Linked DNA regions of Anolis sagrei. The protein of the gene in region 2 interacts with the protein of the main gene of each other region in a pairwise test. Links are inferred from orthologs where the notes say so. Each region holds a gene or a part of one and is shown on either strand. Other genes may lie near its edges.

Region 1 (10,492 bases), about 33 Mb from region 2:
AGCGGGATGTCCATCCAAAAAGGGGCGGGGAAAAGCATAGCTAAGGGCTCCTCCCACTTCTAGACACCGTTGAGGGAGATTCTGTGGTTCTATGTGTTGTCGAAGGCTTTCATGGCCAGAATCAGTGGGTTGTTGTGAGTTTTCCGGGCTGTCTGGCTATGTTCCAGAAGCATTCTCTCCTGACGTTTCACCCACATCTATGGCAGGCAATATTAAAGGCTGTGAGATCAGCAGTGGAACTCTCTGGCCCGGAGTGTGGTGGAGGCTCCTTCTTTGGAGGCTTTTAAAGAGAGGCTGGATGGCCATCTGTCGGGGGTGCTTTGAATGGGATTTTCCTGCTTCTTGGCAGAATGGGGTTGGACTGGATGGCCCATGAGGTCTCTTCCAACTCTGTTTCTATGTTTCATTGCTATCTCATCCAGAGTTTTATCATTTTATGTCAGGCATTTGGCCCTCCCACTGTGTTTGATTTTCCAGTATGTTATTTTGTACTGTTTATTTTACTTGATTGGTTCATTTATTTTATTGCAATATTATTTTGTTGTTTATATTTCATGTTGCTGTAATGTATTTCTGGATTTCAGGAAGGCCTTCGACAAGGTCCCCCATGACCTTCTGGCAAACAAACTAGACCAATGTGGGCTAGGCAAAACTATGGTGAGGTGGATCTGTAATTGGTTAAATGGACGAACCCAGAGGGTGATTCTCCCCAAGGCTTCCTCTTCATCCTGGAAAGAAGTGACGAGCGGAGTGCCGCAGAGTTCCGTCCTGGGCCCGGTCCTGTTCAACATCTTTATTAATGACTTAGATGAAGGGTTAGAAGGCAGGATTATCAAGTTTGAAGACGACACCAAATTGGGAGGGATAGCCAAGACTCCAGAGGACAGGAGCAGGATTCAAAACGATCTTGACAGATTAGAGAGATGATGGGCCAAAACTAACAAAATGAAGTTCAACAGTGACAAATGCAAGATACTCCACTTTGGCAGGAAAAAACAAAATGCAAAGATACAGAATGGGGGATGCCTGGCTGGAGAGCAGTATGTGTGAAAAAAATCTTGGAGTCCTCATGGACAACAAGTTAAACATGAGCCAACAATGTGATGTGGCGGCAAAAAAAGCCAATGGGATTTTGGCCTGCATCAATAGGAGCAGAGTGTCTAGATCTAGGGAAGTCATGCTACCCCTCTATTCCGCTCTGGTTAGACCACACCTGGAATATTGTGTCCAATTCTGGGCACCACAATTCAAGAGAGATATTGACAAGCTGGAATGTGTCCAGAGGAGGGCGACTAAAATGATCAAGGGTCTGGAGAACAAGCCCTATGAAGAGCGGCTTAAAGAGCTGGGCATGTTTAGCCTGAAGAAGAGAAGGCTGAGAGGGGATATGATAGCCATGTATAAATATGTGAGAGGAAGCCACAGGGAGGAGGGAGCAAGCTTGTTTTCTGCTTCCCTGGAGACTAGGACGTGGAACAATGGCTTCAAACTACAAGAGAGGAGATTCCATCTGAACATGAGGAAGAACTTCCTGACTGTGAGAGCCGTTCAGCAGTGGAACTCTCTGCCCCGGAGTGTGGTGGAGGCTCCTTCTTTGGAAGCTTTTAAACAGAGGCTGGATGGCCATCTGTCAGGGGTGATTTAAATGCAATATTCCGGCTTCTTGGCAGAATGGGGTTGGACTGGATGGCCCAGGAGGTCTCTTCCAACTCTTTGATTCTATGATTCTCTGATTCTATTGCTGGGCCAAGCCTCATGTAAGCCCCCCAAGTCTCCTTTGGTAGATGGTGGCGGGCTATAAATAAAGTTTATTGTTATTATTATTTTACTGACACAAAACCACAGTACGGTCACAGCAAATGAGATCTATATGCTGGATTATATATGCTGGATTATCTGATCTCACACAATAATAATAATAATAATAATAATAATAATAATAATAATAATAACAATAATAATAATAATGTGAGAGCTGTTCAGCAGTGGAACTCTCTGCCCCGGATTATGGTGGAGGCTCCTTCTTTGGAGGATTTGAAACAGAGGCTAGATGGCTATCTGTCAGGAGTGCTTTGAATGGGATTTTCCTGCTTCTTGGAAGAATGGGGTTGGACTGGATGGCCCATGAGGTCTCCTCCAACTCTAGGATCCAGAGAGATGGTCAGCAATGTGAGAGCTGTTCAGCAATGGAACTCTCTGCCCCAGAGTGTGGTGGAGGCTCCTTCTTTGGAGGCTTCTAAACAGAGGCTGGATTGCCATCTGTTGGGGGTGCTTTAAATGGGATTTTCCTGTTTCTTATAGAATCATAAGAATCCTAGAGTTGGACGAGACCTCCTGGGCCATCCAGTCCAACCTCATTCTGCCAAGAAGCAGGAAAATTGCATTCAAAGCACCCCTGACAGATGGCCATCCAGCCTCTGTTTAAAAGCTTCCAAAGAAGGAGCCACCACCACACTCCAGGGCAGAGAGTTCCACTGCTGAACGGCTCTCACAGTCAGGAAGTTCTTCCTAATGTTCAGGTGGAATCTCCTTTCTTGTAGTTTGAAGCCATTGTTCCATTGCATCCTAGTCTCCAGGGCAGCAGAAAACAAGCTTGCTATCTCTTCCCTGTGGCTTCCTCTCACTTATTTATACATGGCTATCAAATCTCCTCTCATCCTTCTCTTCTTCAGGCAAAACATGCCCAGCTCTGTAAGCCGCTCCTCAAAGGGCTTGTTCTCCAGACCCTTGATCAGTTGAGTCGCCCCCTTCTGAACACATTCCAGCTTGTCAATATCTCTTGGCAGAATAGGGTTGGACTGGATGGCCCATGAGGTCTCTTCCAAATCTAGGATTCTATGTGAGAGCTGTTCAGCAGTGGAACTCTCTGCCCTGGAGTGTGGTGGAGGCTCCTTCTTTGCTTTTCAACAGAGGCTGGATGGCCATCTGTCGGGATGCTTTGAATGGGATTTTCTGCTTATTGACAGAATAGGGTTGGACTGGATGCCCCATGAGGTCTCTTCCAATTCTAGGATTCTATGTGAGAGCTGTTCAGCAGTGGAATTCTCTGCCCAGGAGTGTAGTGAAGGCTCCTTCTTTGAAGGCTTTTCAACAGAGTTTGGATGGCCATCTGTTGAAGGTGGTTTGAATGGGATTTTTGGGTTTTTTTGGCAGAATGGGGCTGGACCGGATGGTCCATGAGGTCTTATCCAACTCTAGGATTCTACGTGAGAGCTGTTCAGCAGTGGAACACTCTGCCCCGGAGTGTGGTGGGGGCTCCTTCTTTGGAGGCTTTTAAACAGAGGTTGGATGGCCATCTTTTGGGGGTGCTTTGAATGAGATTTTCCTGATTCTTGGCAGAATGGGGTTGGACTGGATGGTAGTTGTTAGAAGCAGCCAAGCTTTGAAGCTGCGAGGCCATTCAATACTAATCAAGGTGGCCAATTGCAACATTCATACTTGCCTCTTCCAGCTCTAGAATTCTATGAATCTATGACTCTAGGTCTGTGGTTCTCTTTCATAGCAGCTTTGGAGGCTTTTAAACAGAGGTTGGATGGCCATCTGTCGGGGTGTTTTGAGTGGAATTTTCCTGCTTTTTGGCAGAATGGGGTTGGAAAGGATGGTAGATTCAGCAGGCTTTGAAGCTGCAAGAACATTCAATACCAATCAAGGTGGCCAATTGCAACATTCACACTTGCCTCAACCATCTTTAGAATTTTATAATTTTTAGAACTTGCTAACTGTGAAAGCTGTTCAGCAGTGGAACTCTCTGCTCCGAAGTGTGATGGAGGCTTTTAAACAGAGGCTGGATGGCCATCTGTCAGGGTGCTTTGAATAGGATTTTTGTTCTAATTGGCAGAATGGGGTTGGACTGGATGGCCCACGAAGTCTCTTCCAACTCTAGGATTCTATGTGAGAGCTATTCAGCAGTGGAACTCTCTGCCCCGGAGTGTGGTGGAGGCTTTTCAACAGAGGCTGGATGGGCATCTGTTGGGGGTGCTTTGAATGGGATTTTTGTTTTAATTGGCAGAATGGGTTTGGACTGGATGGCCCATGAATTCTCTTCCAACTCTAGGATTCTATGTGAGAGCTGTTCAGCAGTGGAACTCTCCTCCCCGGCGTGTGGTGGAGGCTCCTTGTTTGAAGGCTTTTCAACAGAGGATGGATGACCATATGTTGGGGGTGCTTTGAATGGGATTTTTGTTCTAATTGGCAGAATGGGGTTGGACTGGATGGCCCATGAGGTCTCTTCCAACTCTAGGATGGATGACCATCTATTGAGGGTGCTTTGAATGGGATTTTCCTGCTTCATGGCAGAATGTTCTATGTGAGAGCTGTTCAGCAGTGGAACTCTCTGCCCCTGAGTGTGGTGGAGGCTTTGAAACAGAGGCTGGGTGGCCATCTGTTGGGCAGAATGGGTTCTATGTGAGAGCTGTTCAGCAGTGGAACTCTCTGCCCCTGAGTGCGGTGGAGGCTTTGAAACAGAGGCTGGGTGGCCATCTGTCGGGCAGAATGGGTTCTATGTGAGAGCTGTTCAGCAGTGGAACTCTCTGCCCTGGAGTGTGGTGGAGGCTCCTTCTTTGAAGGCTTTTCAACAGAGTTTGGATGGCCATCTGTTGAGGGTGCTTTGAATTGGATTTTTTGTTCTAATTGGCAGAATGGGGTTGGACTGGATGGCCCACGAGGTCTCTTCCAACTCTAGGATGGATGACCATCTGTTGGGGGTGCTTTGAATGGGATTTTCCTGCTTCTTGGCAGAATAGGGTTGGACTGGATGGCCCATGAGGTCTCTTCCAACTCTAGGATTCTATGTGAGAGCCGTTCAGCAGTGGAACTCTCTGCCCCGGTGTGTCGTGGAGCCTCTTTCTTTGAAGGCTTTTCAACAGAGGATGGATGGGGGTGCTGTTGGGGGTGCTTTGAACGGGAGTTTCCTGCTTCTTGGCAGAATGGTGTTGGAGTGGATGGTAGCTGTTAGAAGCAGCCAGGCTTCGAAGCTGCAAGACCATTCAATACTAATTGCAACATTCACCTTTGCCTCAACCAACTCTAGCATTCTATGAATCCGACTCTAGGTCTGTGGTTCTCTTCCACAGCAGTAAAGGGGGTGTGGCTTAACGCGGGCAGAGAGGGGCGTGGCGAGAGGAGTCCCCGCCCACTTTGTTGGGTATAAATAGGAGCGGAGTGCGGCGCTCTTCCGCAGAAGGTTGTCTCTTCCTCTGCTGCTCCTTCTCCTTCTCCTCTCTGAGGCAAACTCGGGCAAGACGATGAGCTCGTTCGGCTACGAGACGTACTTCCCGGCCTACAAGCGCCGCTTCGCCGACGGCGGGGTGTCCTCCTCGTCGTCGTCGCGGGTGCGGGGCTTGGGCGCAGGGCTGGGCTACGGGGCGTCCTCCCGCTCGACCTACTCGAGCCTGTCCGCGCCGCTGTCGTCGGTGTCGGTGCGGCGGAGCTACGCGGCGTCGTCGTCGGCCTCGTCGTCGTTCTCGGCGGCGCTGGCGGCGGAGAGCCTGGACCTGACGCAGGTGGCGGCGCTGAGCAACGACCTGAAGGCCATCCGGAGCCAGGAGAAGGCGCAGCTGCAGGACCTGAACGACCGCTTCGCCTGCTTCATCGAGCGCGTCCACGAGCTGGAGCAGCAGAACAAGGCGCTGGAGGCGGAGCTGCTGGGCTTGCGGCAGAGGCACGCCGAGCCCTCCCGCTTCCGCGCCCTCTACGAGCAGGAGATCCGCGAGCTGCGCCTCGCCGCCGAGGAGGCCGGCCACGAGCGAGCCGCGCTGCAAGGGGAGCGCGAAGGCTTGGAGGAGACGCTGCGGGCGCTGGCCGGGCGCGTCGAGGAGGAGGCCGCCGCCCGAGAGGAAGCCGAAGCCCGCCTCTTGGAAGCCCGCAAGGCCGCCGACGAAGCCGCGCTGGGCCGCGCCGAGCTGGAGAAGCGCGTCGACTCGCTCCTCGACGAGCTGGCCTTCCTCAAGAAGGTGCACGAGGAGGAGCTGGCCGAGCTGCAAGCCCAGGTGGCCCAGCAAGGCGCCCAGCTCTCCGCCGAGGCCGACCTGGGCGCCAGCGCCAAGCCCGACCTCTCCGCCGCCCTCCGCGACATCCGCGCCCAGTACGAGCGCCTCGCCGCCCGCAACATGCAGAACGCCGAGGAGTGGTTCCGCAGCCGCTTCTCCGTCCTCTCCGAGAGCGCCGCCAAGAACACCGACGCCGCCCGCGCCGCCAAGGACGAGGTGGCCGAGAGCCGCCGCCTCCTCAAGGCCAAGACCCTCGAGATCGAGGCCACGCGCGGAGCCAACGAGGCCCTCGAGAAGCAGCTCCAGGAGCTCGAGGAGAAGCACAACGCAGACCTCGCCGCCCTCCAGGTGGGCACCAACGGGGGGGGGGGGGCGGATACCGGGGGAGGGGGGAGGTTGCCGCGGATACGGGGGAAGGTATCTAGATCAGGAGCTCGCACATCACCTCCCTCCAGGTGAGAACAAAGGGGGACCCGCAGATACCGGGGGAGAGATTGCCGCGGATATGGGGGAGGGTATCTAGATATGGGGGAGGGTATCTAGATACAGGGATACAGGGGAGGGTATCTAGATCAGGAGTTAGAGGAGAAACACATCGCCGCCCTCCAGGTAGGCACAAAGGGGGACCCGCGGATACCGGGGAAGGGTATCTAGATACAGGGATATGGGAGAGGGTATCTAGATCAGGACCTCGAGGAGAAGCACAATGCCGACCTCCAGGTGGGCACCAAGGGGGACCCACATACAGGGGGAGGGTAACTAGATCAGGAGTTAGAGGAGAAGCACATCACCGCCCTCCAGGTGGGCGCCAAGGGGGACCCGCAGATACCAGGGGAGGGGGAAGGTTGCTGCGGATATGGGGGAGGGTATCTAAATCAGGAGCTCGAAGAGAAGCACAATGCCGACCTCGCCGACCTCCAGGTGGGCACCAACCGGTGGGCCCGCGAATACCGGGGGAGAGGAGAAGGAAGGTTGCTGCGGATATGGGGGAGGGTATCTAGATCAGGACTTAGAGGAGAAGCACATCACCGCCCTCCAGGTGGGAACAAAGGGGGACCCACGGATACTGGGGGAGGGGGAAGGTTGCCACAGGTAAGGGGGAGGGTATCTAGATCAGGAGCTCAAGGAGAAGCACAATGCCGATCTCGAAGTGGGCACCAAGGGGGACCCGCGGATACGGGGGAGAGGGGAAGGAAGATTGCTGCGGATACGGGGGAGGGTATCTAGTTCAGGAGCTTGAGGAGAAGCATAATGCTGGCTTCGCTGCCCTCCAGGTGGGCACCAAGGGGGCCCGCGGATACCAGGGGAGAGGGGAAGGAAGGTTGCTGCGGATACGGGGGAGGGTATCTAGTTCAGGAGTTAGAGGAGAAGCACATCACCACCCTCCAGTTGGGCACCAAGGGGGCCCGCGGATACCGAGGGGGAGGGGAAGGAAGGTTGCTGCGGATACGTGGGAGGGTATCTAGTTCAGGAGTTAGAGGAGAAGCACATCACCACCCTCCAGGTGGGCACCAAGGGGGCCCGTGGATACCGAGGGGGAGGGGAAGGAAGGTTGCTGCGGATACGTGAGAGGGTATCTAGTTCAGGAGTTAGAGGAGAAGCACATCACCACCCTCCAGGTGGGCACCAAGGGGGCCCGCGGATACCAGGGGAGAGGGGAAGGAAGGTTGCTGCGGATACGGGGGAGGGTATCTAGTTCAGGAGTTAGAGGAGAAGCACATCACCACCCTCCAGGTGGGCACCAAGGGGGCCCGCGGATACCAGGGGAGAGGGGAAGGAAGGTTGCTGCGGATACGGGGGAGGGTATCTAGTTCAGGAGTTAGAGGAGAAGCACATCACCACCCTCCAGTTGGGCACCAAGGGGGCCCGCGGATACCGAGGGGGAGGGGAAGGAAGGTTGCTGCGGATACGTGGGAGGGTATCTAGTTCAGGAGTTAGAGGAGAAGCACATCACCACCCTCCAGGTGGGCACCAAGGGGGCCCGTGGATACCGAGGGGGAGGGGAAGGAAGGTTGCTGCGGATACGTGAGAGGGTATCTAGTTCAGGAGTTAGAGGAGAAGCACATCACCACCCTCCAGGTGGGCACCAAGGGGGCCCGCGGATACCAGGGGAGAGGGGAAGGAAGGTTGCTGCGGATACGGGGGAGGGTATCTAGTTCAGGAGTTAGAGGAGAAGCACATCACCACCCTCCAGGTGGGCACCAAGGGGGCCCGCGGATACCAGGGGAGAGGGGAAGGAAGGTTGCTGCGGATACGGGGGAGGGTATCTAGTTCAGGAGTTAGAGGAGAAGCACATCACCACCCTCCAGGTGGGCACCAAGGGGGCCCGCGGATACCAGGGGAGAGGGGAAGGAAGGTTGCTGCGGATACGGGGGAGGGTATCTAGTTCAGGAGTTAGAGGAGAAGCACATCACCACCCTCCAGGTGGGCACCAAGGGGGACTTGCGGATACCGAGGGGGAGGGGAAGGAAGGTTGCCGCGGATACGGGAGAGGGTATCTAGATCAGGAGCTCGAGGAGAAGCAGAACACTGGCCAACAAGCAACCATCACTCACAAAAACACTGAGAAACACAGCAGAAGAGACTTAAAAAGTCAAAAAATCCCACAAACATTACAACACATGCACAAAACCACACACACATATGCAAACACACATATACACAAATATACACGCACACACATACAAAACACATATACACAGACTGGGCCGCAGCAATACATGGCATGGCTAGTATATAAATAAAAAAATTTAATGTTCGTTTGTGGGACTAACATAACTCAAAAACCACTGGATGAATTGACACCAGATTTGGACACAAGAAACCTCTCAGGCCAATGAGTGACCATCACTCATAAAAACACTGAAAAACACAGCAGAAGAGACTTAAAAAGCCAAAAAAACCACCCACAGAATACATTACCACACATGCGCAATATATATATATATATATATATATATATACACACACACACACACACACACACACACACACACACACACAGACACTGGTGGGGGACAGAGGTTTGAAAAACCTCCAGAGAACAAGACTCCATCACAATTCACGGAAGCATATTATTGTTTCCCAGATGTCAAGATGGAATCTAGTTTCCTGCACTTCAAAACTATTTCTCTGTGTCCTACTATCTGGAGCAGAAGAAATAATACTTAGTCTGTTGGAAACTAGGCAAGTGGGGTTTTTATCTATCTATCTATCTATCTATCTATCTCTGTGGAATGTCCAGAGTGGGAAAAATAACTCTTGTCTGTTGGAGGCAAGTGTGAATGTTGCAATTGGCTAGCTTGGTTAGCACTGAATGGCCTTGCAGCTTCAAAACTTCACTGCTTTCTGCCCAGGGGATCCTTTGTTGGGAGGTGGAATGCCTCCAGGCAGGAAGCAACCAGGCTTTGAAGCTGCAAGGCCATTCAACACTAATCAAGGTGGTCAATTGCAACATTCACACTTGCCTTCGACAGACAAGAGTTCTTTCTCCCACCCTGGACCTTCACAGCAAGTCTTTGAAGCTGCAAGGCCATTCGATGCTAATCAAGGTGGCAAATTGCAACATTCACACTTGCCTCCAACAGACAAGAGTTCTTTCACCCACCCTGGACCTTTTACAGCCAGGCTTTGAAGCTGCAAGGCCATTCGATGCTAATCAAGGTGGCCAATTGCAACACTCACACTTGCCTCCAACAGACAAGAGTTCTTTCTCCCACTCTGGACATTATTCCACAGGTATATAAACCCCACTTGCCTAGTTTCCATCAGACATCACAACCTCTGAGTATGCTTGCCATAGATGTGGGTGAAACGTCAGGAGAGAATGCTTCTGGAACATGGCCATACAGCCTGGAAAACTCACAACAAGCTAGTGATTCTGGCCATGAAAGCCTTCAACAACAATTTATCTGTTTCTTGATGAATCATTGTCCATCAGCACTGATTATTCTTGGAGTTTCAGCACAATCCCATGTTTGGATTTACTTCTGCATAAATGTGCATAAAATACTATTGTTTATTGTTTATTTTTTGTTATGAGTTTTATTTTATTGTCTGTATTAATTGTTGTTTTTGCTTTATCATTGATGTATTGTGGGCTCGGCCTCATATAAGCCGCACCGAGTCCCTCGGGAGATGGTAGCGGGGTATAAATAAAGATTATTATTATTATTATTAGTAGTAGTAGTAGTATTAGTATTAATTAATTAATTTATTTACTTTACTTGTATACTGCACTCTCTCAGCCCGTAGGCGACTCAGTGCGGTTTACAGCCAGGACAATATACAGGTGCACAACATTAGCATTTAAAACAGTAACTAAATCAACTACGTCAATATAACAATACAACAGAGCATCAATATAACATCTAAACATCTATATCACTAATCCATCATGTCTCACGATATAATACTAGTAATAATAATACTATATTATAATTATAATTTATATTTAATTACATGTAATATTACTAATAATATTACAATATAATGGTATAGTGCAA
Region 2 (11,041 bases):
TCCAGACAGCAAACAATCAAGTGCCAGTTAACATCTCCCAAACAAAGGATGCCTCCAGGCAACAACACTGTGGACATTATTCCACAGGTATACATACACTTCACTTGCCTAATTTCCAACAGACCTCTATGCAGATACCCTCACTAATTGACTTTGCAGTTGCAAGGCTACTCAACGCTAACCAAGCTTGCAAACTGCAACATTTATACTTGCATCAAACAGACAAAGGTCTTTCTCCCCGCGTGGACATTATTCCACAGATATAGATACACTCCACTTGCCTCATTTCCAACAGACCTCTATGCAGATACCCTCACTGGTTGACTTTGCAGCTGCAAGGCTACTCAGCGCTAACCAAGCTTGCAAACTGCAACATTTATACTTGCATCAAACAGACAAAGGTTTTTCTCCCCGCGTGGACATTATTCCACAGATATAGATACACTCCACTTGCCTCATTTCCAACAGACCTCTATGCAGATACCCTCACTGGTTGACTTTGCAGCTGCAAGGCTACTCAGCGCTAACCAAGCTTGCAAACTGCAACATTTATACTTGCATCAAACAGACAAAGGTTTTTCTCCCCGCGTGGACATTATTCCACAGATATAGATACACTCCACTTGCCTCATTTCCAACAGACCTCTATGCAGATACCCTCACTGGTTGACTTTGCAGCTGCAAGGCTACTCAGCGCTAACCAAGCTTGCAAACTGCAACATTTATACTTGCATCAAACAGACAAAGGTTTTTCTCCCCGCGTGGACATTATTCCACAGATATAGATACACTCCACTTGCCTCATTTCCAACAGACCTCTATGCAGATACCCTCACTGATTGACTTTGCAGCTGCAAGGCTATTCGATGCTAACCAAACTTGCCAATTGCAACATTTACACTTGCATCAAACAGACAAGGGTTCTTTCTCCCACTGTGGACATTATTCCATAGGTATACATACACACCACTTGCCTCATTTCCAACAGACCTCTATGCAGATACCCTCACTGATTGACTTTGCAGCTGCAAGGCTACTCAATGCTAATCAAGCTTGCCAAGTGCTACATTTACACTTGCTTGAAAGGGCCCTTCCACACAGTCCTATACCCCAGAATATCAAGGCAGATAATCCACACTATCTGCTTTGAACTGGGTTACTGAAGTTCACACTGCCATATAATCCAGTTCAGTGTGGATTTTATACAGCTGTGTGGTAGGGGCTAAACAGACAAGAGTTTTTTCTCCCACTATGGATGCTCCACTTGCCTCATTTTCAACAGACCTCTGAACAAACCTCTGAGGCTGCTTGTCACAGATGCAGGCAAAACATCAAGGAAGAATGCTGCTGGAACATGGCCATACAGCCAGAAAAACTCACAGCAACCCAGCGATTCTACCCATGACAGCCTTCGATAACACCTTGCCTTAAATGTTGTTGTCCACAGTGGGAGAAAGAACCCTTGTCTGTTGTTGTTGGTGGTGTTGTTGTTGGTGTTGTTGATACATAGCAAGATTAATATTTTTGTATTTGATCGGACACTTCCCAGTAATCTATATTATCCAAAATTGTACCCATCCCATCTGAACTGTCAATATAATGTCTCTTTCTTTCACACGGCACAGTTATAGCACTTATGTGCTATATGTGACAAATGTGACAGCTCCATTCCCTAGTATCCTGGGATTTGCAGCATGAGCGCCACATAATTCTGTGCCGGAAAGTTTGGGTTCCTCACCAAACTACATGTGTAGCTTTAAAGGTAAATTAAAGGGATTGTTGGGTTGCTGTGAGTTTTCTGGACTGTCTCACCATGTTCCAGAAGCATTCTCTCCTGATGTTTCACTCCCATCTATTGCAGACATCCTCATGGTTGTGAGGTCTTTTGGAAACTAGGCAAGTGAGGTTTATATATCTGTGGAATGATGTCCAGGGTGGAAGAAAGAACTCTTGTCTGCTTGAGGCAAGTGTGAATGTTGCAATTGGCCACCTTGATTAGCATTGAATGGTTTTGCATCTTCAAAGCCTGGCTGGTTGCTGCCTGAGGGATCCATTGTTGGGAGGTGTTAGCTGGTCCTGATTGCTTCCTGACTGGATTTTCCCTGTTTTCTGAGTGTTGCTCTTTATTTACTGATCCAATTTTAGAGGTTTTTTTAATACTAGTAGCCATATATTGTTTATATTCATGGTTTCCTCCTTTCTGTTGAAATTGTCCACATGCTTCTTGCGGATTTCAGTGGCTTTGCGTCTTGAGTGTTTCTCTGACACCTTTGGCTGCTGGTATTCCTAATTGCAAGGGATGTTTTTCATTTCAATTTGGGCTTTGCGTCTAACCCAAAGTCCAGGTGGGTGACCCAGTTTCCTTCATTCCCTTTTGTCATCACAACAATATAGCCAGGTTGCGGATGCTTCCATTTTTGCAGATGGCCAAAAGAGATATGATCAGCACTTAAAGGCCATGCGATCCAATCAAGGCCGAGCAAGCTTCAATTTCGTGCTTCCTCATCCGCTCTGTGCAAACACGGGCATTTAGTGCACAGAAGATAATAATAATAATTGGTGTCATTGCCTTGTAAGTGCTTGTTAAAAACAAACAAGATTTTATCAGGTGTCCAAGATGAAAGCCAGCTGAAAAGTTCGTATTCAGCGTTCTTTAGAAATCTGCTTTCAGTTCCCTCCCTAAAGTTTCTGGTCCTTATTAATCATCTTAATTTCAAAAGTCAGGGTGCATCTACAGCAGACATGGACAAGCTTTCTAACTTGGGGGCCACATGTTAGTACTCTTTGCTAGGATGACTGGCTGCCTGGTGATGGAAGGAAGAAAGAGAAGGAGAAAGGGAAGAAAGAAAGAAAGAAAGAAAGAAAGAAAGAAAGAAAGAAAGAAAGAAAGGGTGGAAGGAGAAAAGGAGAGAGGGAAAGAGGGAGGAAAGAAGGAAGGAAAGATAAAAGGGAAGGAGGAAGGAAAAAGAAAAAGGAAGGAAGGAAGGAAAGGGTAAAGTAAAGAGAGAAAGAAGGAAAGACAAAGAAGAAGGAAAGAAGGAGAAAAAGGGCAAGAGGAAGGAGAGAGGGAAGAAAGGAAGGACGAAAATGTGAAAGGGAAAGGTGGATGGATAGAAGGAAGGAAGGAAGGAAGGAAGGAAGGAAGGAAGGAAGGAAGGGAAAGAGAGAAGGATGAAAGGATGAAAGGGTGGAAGTAGAAGGAGGGAGAATTAGGAAGGGGAGGAAAGAGGCAAGAAAGGAAAGACAAAAGGGAAGGAAGGAGAAAGAAGGGGAGAGGGAGGAAAGAAGGAAGGAAGGGGTGGAAGGAGAAAAGGAGAGCGGGAAAGAGGGAGGAAAGAAGGAAGGAAAGATAAAAGGAAGAAGGAAAAAGAAGAAGGAAGGATGGATGGATGGATGGATGGATGGAAGGATGGATGGACGGACAGAAGGGAGGGAGGGAAGGATAAAGGAAAGAGAGTAAGAAGGGAAGACAAAGGGGAAGGAAAGAAGGAGAAAGAAGGAGAGAGGGAGGGAAGAGGAAAGGAAGGAAGGACAAAAATGTGAAAGGGAAGGATGGAAGGAAGGGAAGGAAAGAGAAAAGGATGGAAGCATGAAAGGGTGGAAGGAAATAGAAGGAGGGAGAAAGAGAGAAGGGAGGGAGGAAAGAGGGCGAAATGGTGAAAGGGAAGGAGAAAGAGGGAGGAAAGGAGGAAGGGAAGAGAGAAGGAAGGATGGGATGATGAGAGAGAGGAGGGCCTGAGAAAAGAGCCCAAGGGGCCGCATCTGTCCCTTGGGCCTGGCTTTACCTATACCTGATCTACATTGTTGAATTGATGCAGTTTGACACCACTTGAATTGTCATGGCTCAATGCTTTGGGATGCTGGGAATTGGAGTTTGGCGTGGTCTTTATCCTTCTCTGCCCAAGCATATCAGTCCCTCACCAAACACCAATCTCAGGTTTCCATAACATTGAGCTATGGCAGTTACAGTTGTATTAAAATGCATTAATTCTACCATGAAGACACGCCTCTGTTAGAAACTGTGTCAAATACCATTGCCATGTGGTTTGTACTAATGTGTGCACAGATGGATAAGAGTCTCTGACAGTGCCCATCTTAAATACCCCCATGTTTGAAAAAGTTACATTTTTGGAGTAATGGAAGTTCCTTTTATTGGACTCACGATGGCTATGCTGGCTTCTGGGGTGTATAATCCAAGTCAAAGAACATTTAATCAACTACCAAGCTTGCAAACTTTGTGTTTGTTTGTTTGTTTGTTTTTAATGCAATACAACTGTTTGGTTCACTCCTGGCACGATAAATAAATAGTCCAAGTATTCTTTTCCTAAGAAAATCCCATGAAATTCATAAATCAGCCATAAGTCAACAGAGGAATTTTTTGTAGTTGATTGTGATTCTGGAGACCAGGCTTCAAATTCATGCTCTGCTGTAGAAACCTACTTGGTTTATTTATTTGTCGTGTTAGGGCAACCAGTAAATTGTATTACATTTCTAACAGAACAAAACAAGCAAACAGACAAAGAACAACATTTGCAAACTTGATAGTTGATTAAATGTCCTTTGACCAGCATCTGGCCACTTGGAGTGCCTCTGGTGTTGCCGCAAGAAGGTCCTCCATTGTGCATGTGGCAGGGCTCAGGTTTCATTGCAGCAGATGGTCAGTGGTTTGCTCCTCTCCACACTCGCAGGTTGTGGATTCCACTTTGTAGCCCCATTTCCTAAGGTTGGCTCTGCATCTCGTGGTGCCAGAGCGCAGTCCGTTCAGTGCCTTCCAAGTCGCCCAGTCCTCTGTGTGCCCAGGGGGCAGTCTCTCATTTGGTATCAGCCATTGATTGAGGTTCTGGGTTTGAGCCTGCCAATTTTGGACTCTCGCTTGCTGAAGTGTTCCAGTGAGTGTCTCTGTAGATCTTAGAAAACTATTTCTAGATTTAAGTCATTGACGTGCTGGCTGATACCCAAACAGGGGATGAGTTGGAGATGTCTCTGCCTTGGTCCTTTCACTATTGGCTGCTACTTCCCGGCGGATGTCAGGTGGTGCAATACCGGCTAAGCAGTGTAATTTCTCCAGTGGTGTAGGGCGCAGACACCCTATGATAATGCGTCATGTCTCATTAAGAGCCACATCCACTGTTTTAGTGTGGTGAGATGTGTTCCACACTGGACATGCATACTCAGCAGCAGAGTAGCATAGCGCAAAGGCAGATGTCTTCACTGTGTCTGGTTGTGATCCCCAGGTTGTGCCAGTCAGCTTGCGTATGATATTGTTTCTAGCACCCACTTTTTGCTTGATGTTCAGGTAGTGCTTCTTGTAGGTCAGAGCATGGTCCAGAATGACTCCCAGGTATCTGGGTGTGCTGCAATGCTCCAGTGGGATTCCTTCCCAGGTAATAATCCTCAGAGTTCGGGATGCTTGTCTGTTCTTAAGGTGAAAAGCACATGTCTGTGTTTTAGATGGATTAGGGATCAGTTGGTTTTCCCTGTAGTAGGCAGTAAGAGCACCTAGAGCAGTGTTTCTCAACCTGGGGGTCGGGACCCCTGAAGGGGTCACGAAGGGGTGTCAGAGGGGTCACCAAAGACCATCGGAAAGCACAGTATTTTCTGATGGTCATGGGGATTCCATGTGGGAAGTTTGAGCAAATTCTATCATTGGTGGAGTTCAGAATGTTCTTTGATTGTAATGAACTATAAATCCCAGCAACTACAACTCCCAGAAGTCAAGGTCTATTTTCCCCCAACTCCACCAGTGTTCACATTTGCACATATTGAGTATTTGTGTCAAGTTTAGTCCAGATCCACCATTGCGTGAGTCCACAGTGCTCTCTGGATATAGGTGAACTACAACTCCCAAACTCAAGGTCAATACCTACCAAACCCTTCCAGTGTTTTCCGTTAGTCATGAGAGTTCTGTATGGCAAATTAGGTTCAAATTCATCGCTGGTGCAGTTCAGAATGCTCTTTGATTATAGGTGAACTATAAATCCCAGCAACTACAACTCCCAAATGACAAAATCAATCCTTCCCCAACCCCACTAGCATTTACATGTGGGTGCATTGGGTATTTGTGCCCAGTTTGGTCCAGTGAATGAAAATACATCTTGCATATCTGATATTTACATTATGGTTTATAACAATAGTAAAATGACTATTATGAAGTAGCAACAAAAACCATGTTATGGTTGGGGGTCACCACAACATGAGGGACTGTATTAAGGGGTCACGGCATTAGGAAGGTTGAGAACCACTGACCTAGAGTTTCGGAGAGCTTCTGTTCAATCATCTCAAAGCTCCCTGCTTGAGTAGTAATGGCATGATCATCTGCATAGACTTGGTGAGTCACACTCTCTGGATGTGTCTCACCAAGGAAACCCTGTGATGGGATCACTTTAGGGTTGCCTTAAGTCCGAACAACTTGAAGGCACGCAACAGCATAATTTCTTCAAGCCATTGCAGGAAAAGAAGAGCAAACTTTTCCAAATTCTCTCCAATGTGGGTAGTTTCTCTTGACCCACTCCACACAAAACCATAAACATGCCTGGTTAGGCCTCTGACTCCGCTTCCCCTTTAAGCCACCCCGATGCTGGAATGTGAGAGAGCCCCATCCATTCCCCCGTGAGGTCAGATAAGACACTATATTTATCTGGCTTGTAACCTGAGCTGTGAATTTCTGCCTATGCTGCTGACACATGCCTTGGGAGTTCATTCTGTGCCGCAGACGTTGCCCTGCGAGGGAGAGGAGAATCCTCTGAGTCTGCAAACAAGTGAGTCCTTTTGGGCTCTTGTGAATCATTTCTATTTTCCTAATAGAAAAAGCCGCTTGCTGAGACCGAACGGAGCACCTGCCGTTGATCCGGAGCGCCATCCATATGCCACGATTCCTCCCTGGGCCTGTCGTTCGGCACACAGGTGGGTACCATCAACACTGAGGCTGAAGGGTCCATCCAGAGCTTGTCTACACTGTCAAATTAGTGCAGTTTGATACCAGTTTAACTGCAATGGGATACTAGGAGATATCGTTTAGAGAAGCACCAACCCTCTTTGGTGGAGAAGGCTAAAGATGATATGATATGAAACAACTCCCAGAATCCCAAGGGAAGTAACAAAGATAAGTGTGGTCATCCCTCTGAGCATGTGCCAAATGCTCATCCAATGCGGCCATCCATCCACAAGCATTTTTGGGATGGAGGCAAAGGTGGTTTTAGGCCAGTCTGAAGTTTTATCTCCATCCTCAATGGGATTATATTGAATAATAATAATAATAATAATAATAATAATAATAATAATATATCACACAGTCCTAGACGCTTGGGAAGTGTTCGACTTATGATTTTGCGATACGAAATCCAGCATATAGATCTCGTTTGCTGTGACATACTGTGGTGTCAGTAAAATAATAATAATAATAATAATAATAATAATAACAACAACAACAACAACAACAACAACAACAACAACAACAACATGATATGAGGATTTACTGGCACAAGTCAGTAAAGGTGGTCCCAGTGGTGATCGGCACACTGGGTGCAGTGCCTAAATACCTTGGCCTGCACTTAAACACAATCAGTGCTAATAAAATTACTATCTGCCAGCTTCAAAAGGCCACCTTACTGGGATCTGCACACATTATTTGCCGATACATGACACAGTCCTAGACACTTGGGAAGTGTCCGATGTGTGATTCAATGCAACAGCCAGCAGAGTGATCTTGTTTGCTGTGGATTCATCTTGTTGGGTTTCTAATAATAACAATAATAATAATAATAATAATAATAATAATAATAATAATAATAGAGTTGGAAGAGACCTTGTGGACCATCTAGTCCAACCCCATTCCACCAAGAAGTAGGAAAATCGCATTCAAAGCACCCCAACAGATGGCCACCCAGCCTCTGCTTAAAAGCCTCCACCACACTCCAGGGCAGAAAGTTCCACTACTGAACAGCTCTCACAGTCAGGAAGTTCTTCCTCATGTTCAGGTGGAATCCTCTCTCTTTCCTGTAGTTTGAAGCCACTGTTCCACCTCCTAGTCTTGAGGGCAGCAGAAAGGAACCTTGCTCCCTCCTCTCTATGACTTCCTCTCACATCTTGATCCCTGGCCCTCATCATGTCTTTTCTCAGCCTTCTCTTCTGCAGGCTAAACATGCCCAGCTCTTTAAACTGCTCCTCATAGGGCTTGTTCTCCAGACCCTTGATCATTTAGTCACCCTCCTCTGGACACATTCCAGCTTAGAGTCAACATTTCCCTTCAATGGTGGTGCCCAGAATTGGACAGTGTGATTCCAGGTGTGGTCTGACCAAGGCAGAATAGAGCATGGGGAGCATAACTTCCTTGGAATTTGGCACTAGGCTCCTACTGATGCAGGCCAAAATCCCACTGGCTTTTTTAGCTGCCGCATGACATTGTTGACTCATGTTTAACTTGTTGTCCATGAGGACTCCAAGATCTTTTCCACACGTCCTGCTGTCGAGCCAGGCATTGTCCCCCATTCTGTCTCTTTGCATTTCATTTTTTCTGCCTAAGTGGAGTATCTTGCATTTGTCCCTGCTGAACTTCATTTTGCTAGTTTTGCCCAATCATCTCTCTAATCTGTTACATATCTGTAATAGTAGTAGTAATAATAATAATAATAATAATAATAATAATAATAATAATATTACCTGCCTCTATTCTCCGTAACTGTCATGGCAGGAGCCCCCGGTGGCACAATGGGTTAAACCCTTGTGCCAGCAAGACTGAAGACCAACAGGTCGCAGGTTTGAATTTGGGGAGAGCATGGATGAGCTCCCTCTGTCAGCTCCAGCTCCCTATGCAGGGACATGAGAGAAGCCTCCCACAAGGATGGTAAGACATCAAAACATCCAGGTGTCCCCTGGGCAACGTCCTTGGAGACGGCCAATTCTCTCACACCAGAAGCGACTTGCAGTTTCTCAAGTTGCTCCTGACATGGAAAAAAATCCCAGATTATTTGGCAGTGAGGATTTATATAATCCAGGATGGTGAAACATCAAAACATCCGGGCATCCCCTGGGCAAAGTCCTTGCAGACAGCCAGTTCTCTCACACCAGAAGTAACTTGCAGTTTATCAAGTCGCTCCTGACATAGAAAAAAAACTGTCATGGCTTCTCCCAGAGGATTGTGGGAATTACAAAGGGTTCCATTACAGAATCAGAACCCAACACACACACATACACACACACTAACCTGAAGCAACAGTTCCCAGTTGCCTTGGGAGAATGGGGATGAGAGGTAAGCCAGTTCCTTCAACCATATGCCAAAATTCATTGCTGGCATGCTGTACTGTTCTACATGAAACCCATTTACATTTTATATAGACCTAATAGTTTTAGATCGATAGATCGATAGATCGATAGACGGATAGATAGATAGATAGATAGATAGATAGATAGATAGATAGACTCATGAAGCCACGTTTGTGTAATGTATTGTCGAAGGTTTTCATGGCTGGAATCACTGGGTTGTTGTAGGTTTTTCGGGCTATATGGCCATGTTCTAGAAGCATTCTCTCCTGACATTTCGCCTGCATCTATGGCAACCATCCTTAGAGGTTGTGAGGTCTCACAACCTCTGAAGATGCCTCACAACCTCTGATGATTCTTGCCATAGATGCAGGCGAAACATCAGGAGAGAATGCTTCTAGAACATGGCCATATAGCCCGAAAAGTCTACAACAACTCACGTTTGTATACATTGAACCATCGGAAAGCAAAGGGGCTCACATTCTCAGCTATGTGGACAATTGTGAAACATGTCAGATTTCCGGATAAGGGAGGTTCTACTTGTGGTAGGAATGTCTCCCAATTCATGGAAATCACTCAGGAGGGGAAAGAGTTACCTAACCCTTTGCCCCATTCCTATGTAACCACTCCACCGCAGCTGTTATTCCACTAAAAATAGATCCACTCCAGGAGATCCCACCATGGATCTCTCTCTCCTTGCATCGCCTGACCCCGAATATCTGGTTCAGAACAACAGGCTGAGCCAAAACATCGTGACAGAGATTGCGAAAGCACTGAAGATGTGAGCGGAGTAGTTTGAGATGGCTGGAGGATATCCAGATTTGGAGAGAAACACACAAACACGGCTCACTCCAAGCAAAGGAAAAAAGAGGACTGAAAATACCAGTAGAGTGAATGCAGTTTGGCACCACTTTAACTGCTAATTATCATTGCTGTGAAGTCATGGGAATTATAGTTTGCCTTCTCAATGAAAGAGTGCTGACTTCTCATGAAACCACAACTCTCATGATTCCATGGCATTGAGCCACGGCAGTTAAAGTGATCCAAAATTGCATTCCTTCTACAGTATCGATCTGTGTTTCTCAACCTGGGAGAAGGGACCCCTGGGGAGGTCACAAGGGGGTTTTCAAAGGGGTCATCGAAAACCATCAGAAAGCACATATTTCTGATAGTCTTAGGAACCCCTTTCGCAGAGGAAGCTGAAGATCTCTCCGCCGGTCATTTTTGGAAACAGATGGTGAATCCTCCCACCAAAAGACCTCCTCCTGCTGTGATCGTAGGTGAACTATAAATCCCAGCAACTACTACTCCCAAATGTCAAGATCTATTTTCCCCAAACTCCATCAGTGTTCACATTTGGCCATATTGAGTATTTGTGCCAAGTTTGGTCCAGAGCCATCATCATTTGAGTCCACAGTGCTTTCTGGGTGTAGGTGAACTACAATTCCAAAACTCAAGGTCAATGCCCTCCAAACCCTTCCAGTATTTTCTGCTGGTCATGGGAGTTCTTTGTGCCAAGTTTGGTTCAATTTCATCATTGATGGAGTTCAGAATGCCCTTTGATTGTAGGTGAACTATAAATCCCAGCAACTACAACTCCCAAATGTCAAGATCTATTTTCCCCAAACTCCACTATAATGGGCATAATGAGTATCCTTGCCAAGTTTGGTTCGGATCCCTCATTGTTTGAGTCCACAGTGCTCTCTGGGTGGAGGTGAACTACGACTTCAAAACTCAAGGTCAATGCCCACCAAATCCTTCCAGTATTTTCTGTTGGTCATGA
Region 3 (10,649 bases), on a different chromosome or scaffold from region 2:
ATGTTCTTTCGCAGTGGGGACATCAATTTCCAGATGTAAGGCTTGACATGCCTTCCTGTTGCATGTTTATCCCTTTTGCCATCCATTTGTGCCTTTTTGAATTCCACAGCATTGTTGCTCACAATTGACCTCCAGTTAGGATGCTTGAAGGCCATGGCTTCCAAGTTCTATGTGTCTATGCCACAGTTTTAAGCTTGACTTTAAGCCCATCTTTAAATCTGTTTTCTTGTCAAGCAACATACCATTTTAGTTCTTGGGTTGGGAGTATAGTAAGTGCTTTGGTAAATGGTGATCAGGCATTCGGACAAAGTAGACAGTTCAACAGAGTTGATGGCATAGGAGCATTGCTTCAGTGCTGGTGATCTTTGCTGCTTCTTCCAGACCACTGACATTTGTCTGCCTGTCTTCCCAAGAGATTTTGCAGGATTTTTCAGAGACAACACTGGTGGAATCATTCCAGAAGTTGAGTGCGACGTCTGTAGTAGACGGTCCATGTTTTGCAGGCGTATAGCAGGGTTGGGAGGACAATAGTTTTATAAACAAGCATCTTGGTCTCCTTACAAATGTCCCAATCCTCAAACACTGCTTCATTCAGAAAAATTCTGCACTCATACAGCTCAGGCAGTGTTATATTTCAGTGTCGATGCTGACTTTTGTGGAGAGGTGGCTGCCAAGGCAGCAGAAATGGTCAACATTTTCTAACATTACAACATTAAGCTGTATTTCCAGCTCTGCAGAGGGATTGGCTGGTGCCTGCTGCACGAGTATTTTGGTTTTCTCAATGTTCAGTGAGAGATCAAGCTGTTTGAATGCTTCTGCAAAGGTGTTTAGAATGGCTAGTATGTACAATCATAGAATAATAGAATTGGAAGAGACCACATGGGCTACAAAGCCCAACCCCCTGCTAAGAAGCAGGAAAATCATGTTCAAAGCATCCCTGACAATTGGCCATCCAACCTCTGCTTAAAAGCCTCCAAAGAAGGAGCCTCCACCACACTTCAGGGCAGAGAGTTCCAATGTTGAACAGCTCTTACGGTCTGGAAGTTCCTCCTAATGTTCAGGTGGAATATCCTTTCCTGTAATTTGAACCCATTGCTCCAAGTCCTAGTTTCCAGAGCAGCAGAAAACAACCCTGCTCTCTCTACCTTATGACACCCTTTCACATATTCATACATAGCTATCATGTCTCCTCCCAATCTTTTCTTTGGCAGGCTAAAAATACCCAGTTCTTGAAGACACTCATCATAGTGATTAACTGTCTCCAGACTCCAGGTGAGTACTAACCAAAGCAGAATAGAGAGGCACCATGACTTCCCACAATCTAGATACTATACTCTTTTTGATGCAGTCCAAAATCCCATTGGCTTTTTAAGCTGCTGCATCACACTGTAGGCTCATGTTCAACTTGTTGTCCACAAAGACTCCCAAGTTCTTTCCCACATGTACTGTTGTTGAGCCAGGCATCACACATCTTGTATCTTTGCATTTCATTTTTCTGCCTAAGTGTAGTATCTTACATTTTAGTCCTTGTTGAAATTCATTATTTTAGCTCTATAATTTGTTAAAGTGAGTATGATCTGGAGTATTAGCTCTTCCTCCTAATTCAGTGTCATCTGCAAACTTGATAAGCACATCTTCTAAACCTTCTACCAAATCATTACTAAAGATGTTGAACAGAACTGGGCCCAACACTGTGGCAATCCACTTGTCACTTCTTTCCAGGATGAAGAGGAAGCATTAGTGAGCACCCTTTGGGTTCGGTTGCTTAACTATAGAATCATAGAGTTGGAAGAGACCTCCTGGGCCATCCATTCCAACCCCCTGCCAAGAAGCAGGAATATTGCATTCAAAGCACCCCTGACAGATGGCCATCCAGCCTCTGTTTAAAAGCTTCCAAAGAAGGAGCCTCCACCACACTCCAGGGCTGAGAGTTCCACTGCTGAATGGCTCTCACAGTCAGGAAGTTCTTCCTAATGTTTAGATGGAATCTCCTTTCTTGTTTGAAGCCATTGTTCCGCGTCCTAGTCTCCAGAGAAGTAGAAAACAAGCTTGCTCCCTCCTCTCTGTGACTTCCTCTCACATATTTATACATGGCTATCATATCTTCTCTCAGCCTTCTCTTCTTCAGGCTAAATATGCCCAGCTCTTTAAGCCTCTCCTCATAGGGCTTGTTCTCCAGACCCTTGATCATTTGAGTCGCCCTCCTCTGGACACATTCCAGCTTGTCAATATCTCCCTTCAATTGTGGTGCCCAGAATTGGACACAATATTCCAGGTGTGGTCTAACCAAGGCAAAACAGAGGGGTAGCATTACTTCCCTGGATCTAGACACTATACTCCTATTGATGCAGGCCAAAATCCCATTGGCTTTTTTTGCTGCCACATGTCATTGTTGGCTCATGTTTAACTTGTTGTCCACAAGGACTCCAAGATCTTTTTCACATGTACTGCTCTCGAGCCAGGCATTGTCCCCCATTCTGTATCTTTGCATTTTGTTTTTTCTGCCTAAGTGGAGTAACCAATTATACCAAGTAAACCAATTATAAATCTATGTAGTAATAGTTTTGCCTAGCGCACATTTAACTAGTTTGCTTGCAAGAAGGTCATGGGGGGCTTTGTCAAAGGCCTTACTGAAATCAAGATATGCTATTGGAGCATCATCATTACATCGGTGCCCCTTCATTTGGTGCAATGCCTGGGATATGAACCCGGGCCTCCCACATGACAGGTGAGAATTCTACCACTGAACCACCAATTCCCTGCATCTACCAAGCCGGTAACTCTATTGAAAAAAGAGAGAATACATCTAATATATATCTCCATTGATTCTATAGCACTGAGCCATGACAGTTAAAGTGATGTCAAACTATTGATTTTACAGCACAGATGCATCCTTGGCTAACTCAAACAACCTATTCAATGCTAATCAAGGTGATCAATTGCAACATTCACACTTACCTCAGGCAGACAAGAGTTCTTTCTCCCACCTTGGATATTCCACAGATATATAAACCTCACTTGCCTAATTTCCAACAGACCTCACAACCTCTGAGGATGCCTGCCATAGATGTGGGCAAAACATCAGAAGAGAAGGATTCTGGAACATGATCATACAGCCTGGAAAACTCACAGCAACCCAGGGATAGAAATTAACTAATATTAGTATTAATAATGATGATCGCCTTGAGGCAAGTGGTGCCAAACCGTGTTAATGCCACAATGTGTAGATGCTGCACCCCTGGGCATGCTTTAGTAAGGTTCTCAATCTTTCTAATGCTGCAACCCCTTAATTCAGTGCCTCATATTGTGGTGACCCCCAACCTTAAAATTATTTTTGTTGCTACTTCATAATGGTAATTTTGTCACTGTTATGAATTGTAATGTAAATATCTGATATGCAGGATGTATTTTCATTCATTGGACCAAATTTGTCATAAATACCCAATATGTCTAAATTTGAATACTGGTGGGGTTGGGGGAGAATTGATTTTGTCATTTGGGAGTTGTAGTTGCTGGGATTTATAGTTCACCTACAATCAAAGAGCATTATGAATTCCATCTATGATGGAATTGGACCAAAATTGGCACACAGGACTCCCGTGACCAACAGAAAATACTGGAAGGGATTGGTGGGCATTGGCCTTGGGTTTTGGAGTTATAGTTCACCTACATCCAGAGAGCACTATGGAGTCAAACAATGAAGGCTCCGGACCAAACTTGGCATGGATACTCAGTATGCCCAAATGTGGACACTGGTGGAGTTTCGGGAAAATTGACCTTGACATTTGGGAGTTGTAGTTGCTAGGATTTATACTTCACCTACAATCAAAGAGCATTCTGAACTCCACCAATGAGGGAAATGAACCCTCAAATTGAACCAAACTTGGCACACAGGACTCCCATGATCAACAGAAAATACTGGAAGGGTTTGGTGGGCATTGGCCTTGGGTTTTGGAGTTGTAGTTCACCTACATCCAGAGATGTAGGATCTGGACCAAACAATGATGGATCCGGACCAAAATTGGCATGGATACTCAATATGCCCAAATATGGACACTGGTGGAGTTTGGGGGAAATAGACCTTGACATTTGGGAGTTGTAGTTGCTGGGATTTATAGTTTACCTACAATCATATAGCATTCTGAATTCCATCAATGATGGAATTGGGCCAAAATTGGCACACAGGACTCCCATGACCAACAGAAAATATTGGAAGGGTTTGGTGGGCATTGGCCTTGGGTTTCAGAGTTGTAGTTCACCTACATCCAGAGAGCACCGTGGACTCAAACAATGATGGATCTGGACCAAACTTGGCATGGTTACTCAATATGCCCAAATGTGGACACTGGTGCAGTTTGGGGGAAATAGACCTTGACATTTGGGAGTCGTAGTTGCTGGGATTTATAGTTCACCTACAATCAAAGAGTATTGTGAACCCAATCAATGATATAATTGGGCCAAACTTCCCACACAGAACCCCCATGACTAACAGTAAATACTGTGTAGGCCAGGGGTCCTCAAACTAAGGCCTTGGGGCCGGATACGGCCCTCCAAGGTCATTTACCCGGCCCTCGCTCAGGGTCAACTTAAGTCTGAAACGACTTGAAAGCACACAACAACAACAACCCTATCTCATCAGCCAAAAGCAGATTCACACTTCCTATTGAAATACGAATAAGTTTATATTTGTTAAAATTGTTCATTTTAATTATTGTATTGTTTTAAATTTTTTTTGCACTACAAATAAGAGATGTGCAGCGTGCATAGGAATTCATGTTTTTTTCAAATTATAATCCAGCCCTCCAACAGTTTGAGGGACTGTGACCTGGCCCTCTGTTTAAAAAGTTTGTGCAGGCTGTGGGTTTTTCAGGCTGTATGGCCATGTTCTCTAGAAGCATTCTCTCCTGACGTTTCGCCTGCATCTGTGGCAGGCATCCTCAGAGGTTGTGAGGTCTCACAACCTCTGTGGATGCTTGCCATAGATGCAGGCGAAACGTCAGGAGAGAATGCTTCTAGAGAACATGGCCATATAGCCCGAAAAAACCTATAACAACCCAGTTGTGAGGTCTGTTGGAAACGAGGAAAATGGGTAAATACTGATGGTCTTTGGCGACCCCTCTGACAGCCCCCTGCCGTAGGAGAAGGCATCCTGGCCCCCCACCCTCTGGGCAGAGAAACCCACAGCTCTTTCCCCTCCTCTTTTCTTTCTTTCTCCTCCTCCTCCTTTCCTCCTCTTCGACGCCCGCCCACAGCCTCCTCCTGGGCCCCTCTCTCGCTCTTTGGCGAGGCTGTTGCTATGGCGACGGTCACGTGACTGCGCCTCGGCGGGGAAGGAGGAGAGAAAGAGGAAGAAAGAGGAGGAGGAGGAAGGGGAACCGGCGGCGCTAAGACCCCGGGCGGCGCGAGGCTTCCTCGGGCGCGCCAAAGGCAGAAGCAGCAGCAGCGGCAGGAGGAGGAAGAAGCAAAGCAAGCAGCAGCCAGCAGCGCCTCCTCCTCCTCCTGCTCTCCCTTTGGCAACCTTCTCCTCCTCCGGCACGTCAGCTCTTCCTCAGCCTCGATGGATGGAGCCTCCCTGCCGCCCCCAGAGGTGCCGCTATGGTGGGTTTATCTCGGGATCGTGTCGCTTCAGAGGGGGAGGAAGCGGGGGAAGCAGGAGCCGGGGGAGGAGGGGAGAATCCATCGCGAAACAAGGCACCGCCGCCGTCTGGACCTCATCAAAAACGCCTCTGCATGTGGCGCATTGCAAACAGCTGCAGCATCAGCCCTTGCCTTGTTGAGTGTTTTTTGGGGCTGGGTCTCTGCCTTGTTGTATTATTTGGGGGAACTTGCAGGTGGGGGCCCCTACCTTTTTTTTAAAGGCCCCACAACCTTTTTAAAAATGCAGCATCTCCTTTATGCCCCCCTAAAAGCATTGAAGTGGGTGCCCCCCCCCCCCCCAAAAGAGATTGATACAGTTGTGTCAATCCTGGATGGAGCTCACCTAGTGCCCACCTTTGTGAGGTTGAAGCAGGGAGTATTTCCCTCATTGACAATCTCTTATTTTGGGGAGGGGAAGCGATATAGGGTCTTACCATAGGGGGTGTATTTGGATGATTATTTTTTTGTGCATCCATAGGGGTGTTTTTTTGTTTTGCCTCCAATCAGGGTGTCAAATGGTTAAGGAGAGCAGGTCCAAATTGATGCCTCCCCTGGCCTCATTTTCCAGGGAAAGTAGTCTGCAAAATAGAGGTGTATTAGGGATGGTTTTGTTTAGGAGGTGTAAAATAAATAAATATACTAATCTAGCTTCAATTACAATCAGGTCCAAAAGGGATCGGAGTCTGGATTATTTTCCCAGGTGGAAAAATAGGGATTTATTTATATTTTTGGGAGGTGGGGGTCTCATTTTCCAAGGGATGTGGTCTAAAAGATAGAGGTGTATATTAGGGATGGTTTTGTTTAGGAGGCATAAAATAAAGAAATACACTAATCTAGCACCAATTGGGAGCTGGTCCAAAGGTATTACTTTCCCAGGTGGAAAATGAGGATTTATTTATATTTTTGGGAGGTGGTGGTCTCATTTTCCAAGGGAAGTTGTCTAAAAGATAGAGGTGTATTATGGATGGTTTTGTTTTGGAGGTGTAAAATAAAGAAATATACTAATCTAGCTCCAATTAGGAGCAGGTCCAAAGGTGATCGGAATCTATATTATTTTCCCAGGTGGAAAAATAGGGATTTATTTATATTTTTGGGAGGTGGTGGCCTTATATTCCAAGGGATGTGGTCTAAAAAATAGAAGTGTATTATGGATGGTTTTGTTTTGGAGGGTAAAATAAAGAATTATAATAATCTAGCTCCAATTACGAGCAGGACCAAAAGGCTTACTTTCCCAGGTGGAAAAATAGGGATTTATTTATATTTTTGGGAGGTGGTGGCCTTATTTTCCAAAGGATGTGGTCTAAAAAATAGAAGTGTATTATGGATAGTTTTGTTTTGGAGGCGTAAAATAAAGAAATATACTAATCTAGCACCACTTGGGAGCTGGTCCAAAGGTATTATTTTCCCAGGTGGAAAAATGGGGATTTATTTATATATTTTGGGAGGTAGTAGCCTCATTTTCCAAGGGATGTGGTCTAAAAATAGAGGTGTATTATGGATGGTTTTGTTTTGGAAGCGTAAAATAAATAAATATATTAATCTAGCACCAATTTGGAACTGGTCCAAAGGGATAGAAGTCTGGATTGTTTTCCCAGGTTGAAAAATAGAGGTCTATGTATAATTTTGGGAGGTGCTCGCCTCATTCTCTAAGGGAAGTGGTCTGAAAAATAGAGGTGTATGGATGTTGTTGTTTTTTTGTTTTGGAGGTGTAACATAAATAAATATGTCCAAAAGGATAGACCTCTGGAATGTTTGCCAAGGTGGGAAAATAGAGGTCTATGTATATATATATATATACACACACACACACACATACACACACACATATATATGGGGGGGGGGGGGAATATGGGGACAGAAGTGGCTCCAATTGGGATCAGATCCAAAAGGATGGGGCGCCGAGGCTTATTTTCCGAGCCATTGTCTTCCACCCCATTGGTGGTCCGCTTCTCTATTGTTCCCTATTTATCCTTTATTCCTTCCAAAGAAAGATGGGACTCTCTCTTGTCTTTGATAAACAAGATCTCATGCGTGGATCCGCTAGTCGTCGGAAGAGGTTACTAATAATAAAGCCTCTCCCCACCACCACCCTGAACTGGATCTCAAGGAGGGAAAGGCGTTCTTTCCTCTGCCCACTAAAATATTTTTATGTCTTTCCTTCTTCCTTTTTCCCTTCCTTTTCCCCTCCTTTTGCCATGTTTGTTTTCCTTTTTTCACCCCCTCTCCCTGACTGACAATAGACCAGGCCTGTGATCTTTTATCAGCCAGGTGAGACCCACAGAAAGGTACAGTCTCGGCCTTGCCCAAGGTCACCTGGATCAAAGGCTGTCCAGATAAAGGCAAGGCTCCTGTATCCATGCATCGCGGTTATGTGTCTACAAAGGCAAAGTAGCTTTCAGCCTGGCGCAGCTAGTCATCATTGGGGGGAGCGGGTGTTGTTTGGGAAAAACAGCATCAGAAGACATTCCCCATTCACAACTCTCACGAGTATGAATTGCATCCCCGAGATCAAATATATGGACCACCTCTGCTGGCTGGACTGCCTTGTTTGGTGTAATTCTTCTTGCAGGCTGCCATTGAGAGAGAAAAATATAAATCCATTTTTGAAGGGTTGCTCAATTCTGTAGGGTAAGTCCCTTAGCCTCCATCTTGAGAGAAAAGGCAGGAAATAAAAAGCAACCCTTTCTGATCCTTGGGTAGGGGTGCATTTTTTTCCTACATGGCAAGGCTGTGTGTTTTTCTCCTCCTACTCAAGGTCCAACAGGTCATGAAAGCTGGAGACATTGGGACTGTGTTGTTAGTTTTTGCTGCATCTTCTTTGCACGGTCGGTTGGTTGTTGTAGAGTTCTTTTTTGATGATTTCTTGTAGAGTTGGATGAAGTTTATGTGCTGAGTTCTTTGACAATGTACGTCAGGCTCACTATCAAATATAAATAACTATTTAAGCTGACTGGCTGCTTCCTCTTCTTCCTTTTCTTCTTCCACCACCTCTTTTGTAAAGTCTTCCACTCGGTGTGCATCCACACTGTAAAATGAATGCAGTTTGACACCACTTTAACTGCCATGGTTCAGTGCTGTGGAATCATTTGGTGAGGTGCCAGCACTCTTTAGCAGAGAAGACTAAGGCCCCTTCCACACCACTGAATAAAATCCCACATTTTCTGCTTTGAACTGGAATATATGGCAGTGTGGACTCAGATAACCCAGTTCAAAGCAGATATTCTGGGTTATATGGCTGTGTGGAAGGACCCCTAGAGACGTGTATCTAAAACTCCCATGATTCCATGCCATTGAGCCATGGCAATTAGGTTAACATAGCATAGAAACTGTTATAAATTCTGTAGAGTAAGATGCACTCTGACATAAGAATCGCTGTTTAGTTGGCATGTTTAATTCCCGAAGACTTAGATTAGTCTCCTCTGTAGAAATCTTGCACGATAATCTCCATAACCCAGTCCCAGGGCCCTTCCACGCAGCCCTATATCCCAGAATATCAAGGCAGAAAATCCCACCATATCAGCTTTGGGTTATCTGAAGCCACACTCAGATAATGTAGGATTTTTTACCTTGATATTCTGGGATATAGGGCCATGTGGAAGGGTCTCCAGTGGGTGTAGTGCAGCGTTTCTCAACCTGGGGGTTTGGACCCCTGGGGGGGAGGGTCATGAGAAGATGTCAGAGGGGTCACCAAAGATCATCAGAAGACACAGTATTTTCTGTTGGTCATGAGGGTTCTATGTGGGAAGTTTGGCTCAATTCTATTATTGGTGGGGTCCAGAATGCTCTTTGATTGTAGGTGAACTATAAATCCCACAACTACAACTGCCAAATGTCAAGGTCTATTTACCCCCAAACTCTACCAATGTTCACATTTCGGCACATTGAGTATCTGTGCCAAGTTTGATCCAGATCCATCATTGTTTGAGTCCACAGTGCTCTCTGGATGAAGGTGAACTACAACTCTCAAACTCAAGATCAATGCCCACCAAACCCTTCTAGTATTTTCTCTTGGTCATGGGAGTTCTGTGTGCCAAGTTTGGTTCAATTCCCTCATTTGTGGAGTTCGGAATGCTCTTTGATTGTAGGTTAACTATAAATCCCAGCAACTACAACTCCCAAATGACAAAATCAATTATCCCTTCCCCCCAACCCCACCAGTATTCAAAATTGAGCATATTGCATATTTGTATCAAATACATGCTACATATCAGATATATATGATGATTCATAACAGTAGCAAAATTACAGTTGTGAAGTAGCAACAAAAATAATTTTATGGTTGGGGGTCACCACAACATGAAATGTATTAAGGGGTTGCAGCATTAGGAAGGTTGAGAAACACTGGTCTAATGGTTGAGGTTGGTGAATGTCGTTGTTTGACACATTAAGAGGTCATCCCTTTGGGGAAGGTGGCTCTAGTATATTCCCAAAGGGTAGTATGATGTTCGTTTTGGGGTACAGCTGCAGGACATCCCTGCCGATTTTCCCCCAACACGCCGAACCAGCCAGCAGCATCAGGACCAAAGAGGCTTTCAGGACAGAGAAACTGTATCCCGGTGTTTAGAGAATGGACTTCATACAACAAAGAAAAATGATATGTTGCTTAATTTTCATTCTAGGCAGATTTTTACTGAATTATAAAAGTAGAAAAGAGAGAATGGACTTCACACATCAAAATGCCCCCCCCCCCCATTTTTTAGGGAGGGATCAAGGTGATGTGAGTCATAGGGCCCTTCCACAAGCCATACAATCCAGAATGTGAAGGCAGATAACCCACAATATCTGCTTTGAACTAGGTTATCTGAATCCACACTCAGATAATGTGGGATTTTCTACCTTGATATTCTGGGATATAGGGCTGTGTGGAAGGGCCTAGGGTCCATACTGCCATATAACTAGTTTAATGTGGATTTTATACAGCTGTCTGGAAGGGGTCATAGATAGCCGTTGCCATATTTATTCACAAAATAGGTGAGATGATTAGTTTGCATACAAACTCGACTTTAGTCTAT

What was found.
Region 1: the proteins of USP2 (region 2) and NEFL interact in binary tests that used the Homo sapiens proteins (3 or more experiments, as listed by UniProt). The two-hybrid records come from large-scale screens. The link is inferred for Anolis sagrei from reciprocal best matches to the Homo sapiens genes USP2 and NEFL.
Region 3: the proteins of USP2 (region 2) and DTX3 interact in binary tests that used the Homo sapiens proteins (3 or more experiments, as listed by UniProt). The link is inferred for Anolis sagrei from reciprocal best matches to the Homo sapiens genes USP2 and DTX3.

Annotation. Positions count from the first base shown.
Region 1 is NC_090027.1:5,850,381-5,860,872, reverse strand, and holds the start of NEFL (neurofilament light polypeptide), read left to right. Parts: upstream 1-5,168; 5' UTR 5,169-5,243; coding exon 5,244-6,335; intron 6,336-10,492. UniProt on the Homo sapiens protein: Neurofilaments usually contain three intermediate filament proteins: NEFL, NEFM, and NEFH which are involved in the maintenance of neuronal caliber.
Region 2 is NC_090027.1:39,098,222-39,109,262, forward strand, and holds the start of USP2 (ubiquitin carboxyl-terminal hydrolase 2), read left to right. Parts: upstream 1-6,713; 5' UTR 6,714-6,903; intron 6,904-11,041. UniProt on the Homo sapiens protein: Hydrolase that deubiquitinates polyubiquitinated target proteins such as MDM2, MDM4 and CCND1. Isoform 1 and isoform 4 possess both ubiquitin-specific peptidase and isopeptidase activities.
Region 3 is NC_090022.1:186,266,357-186,277,005, forward strand, and holds the start of DTX3 (probable E3 ubiquitin-protein ligase DTX3), read left to right. Parts: upstream 1-5,332; 5' UTR 5,333-5,598; intron 5,599-10,649. UniProt on the Homo sapiens protein: Regulator of Notch signaling, a signaling pathway involved in cell-cell communications that regulates a broad spectrum of cell-fate determinations.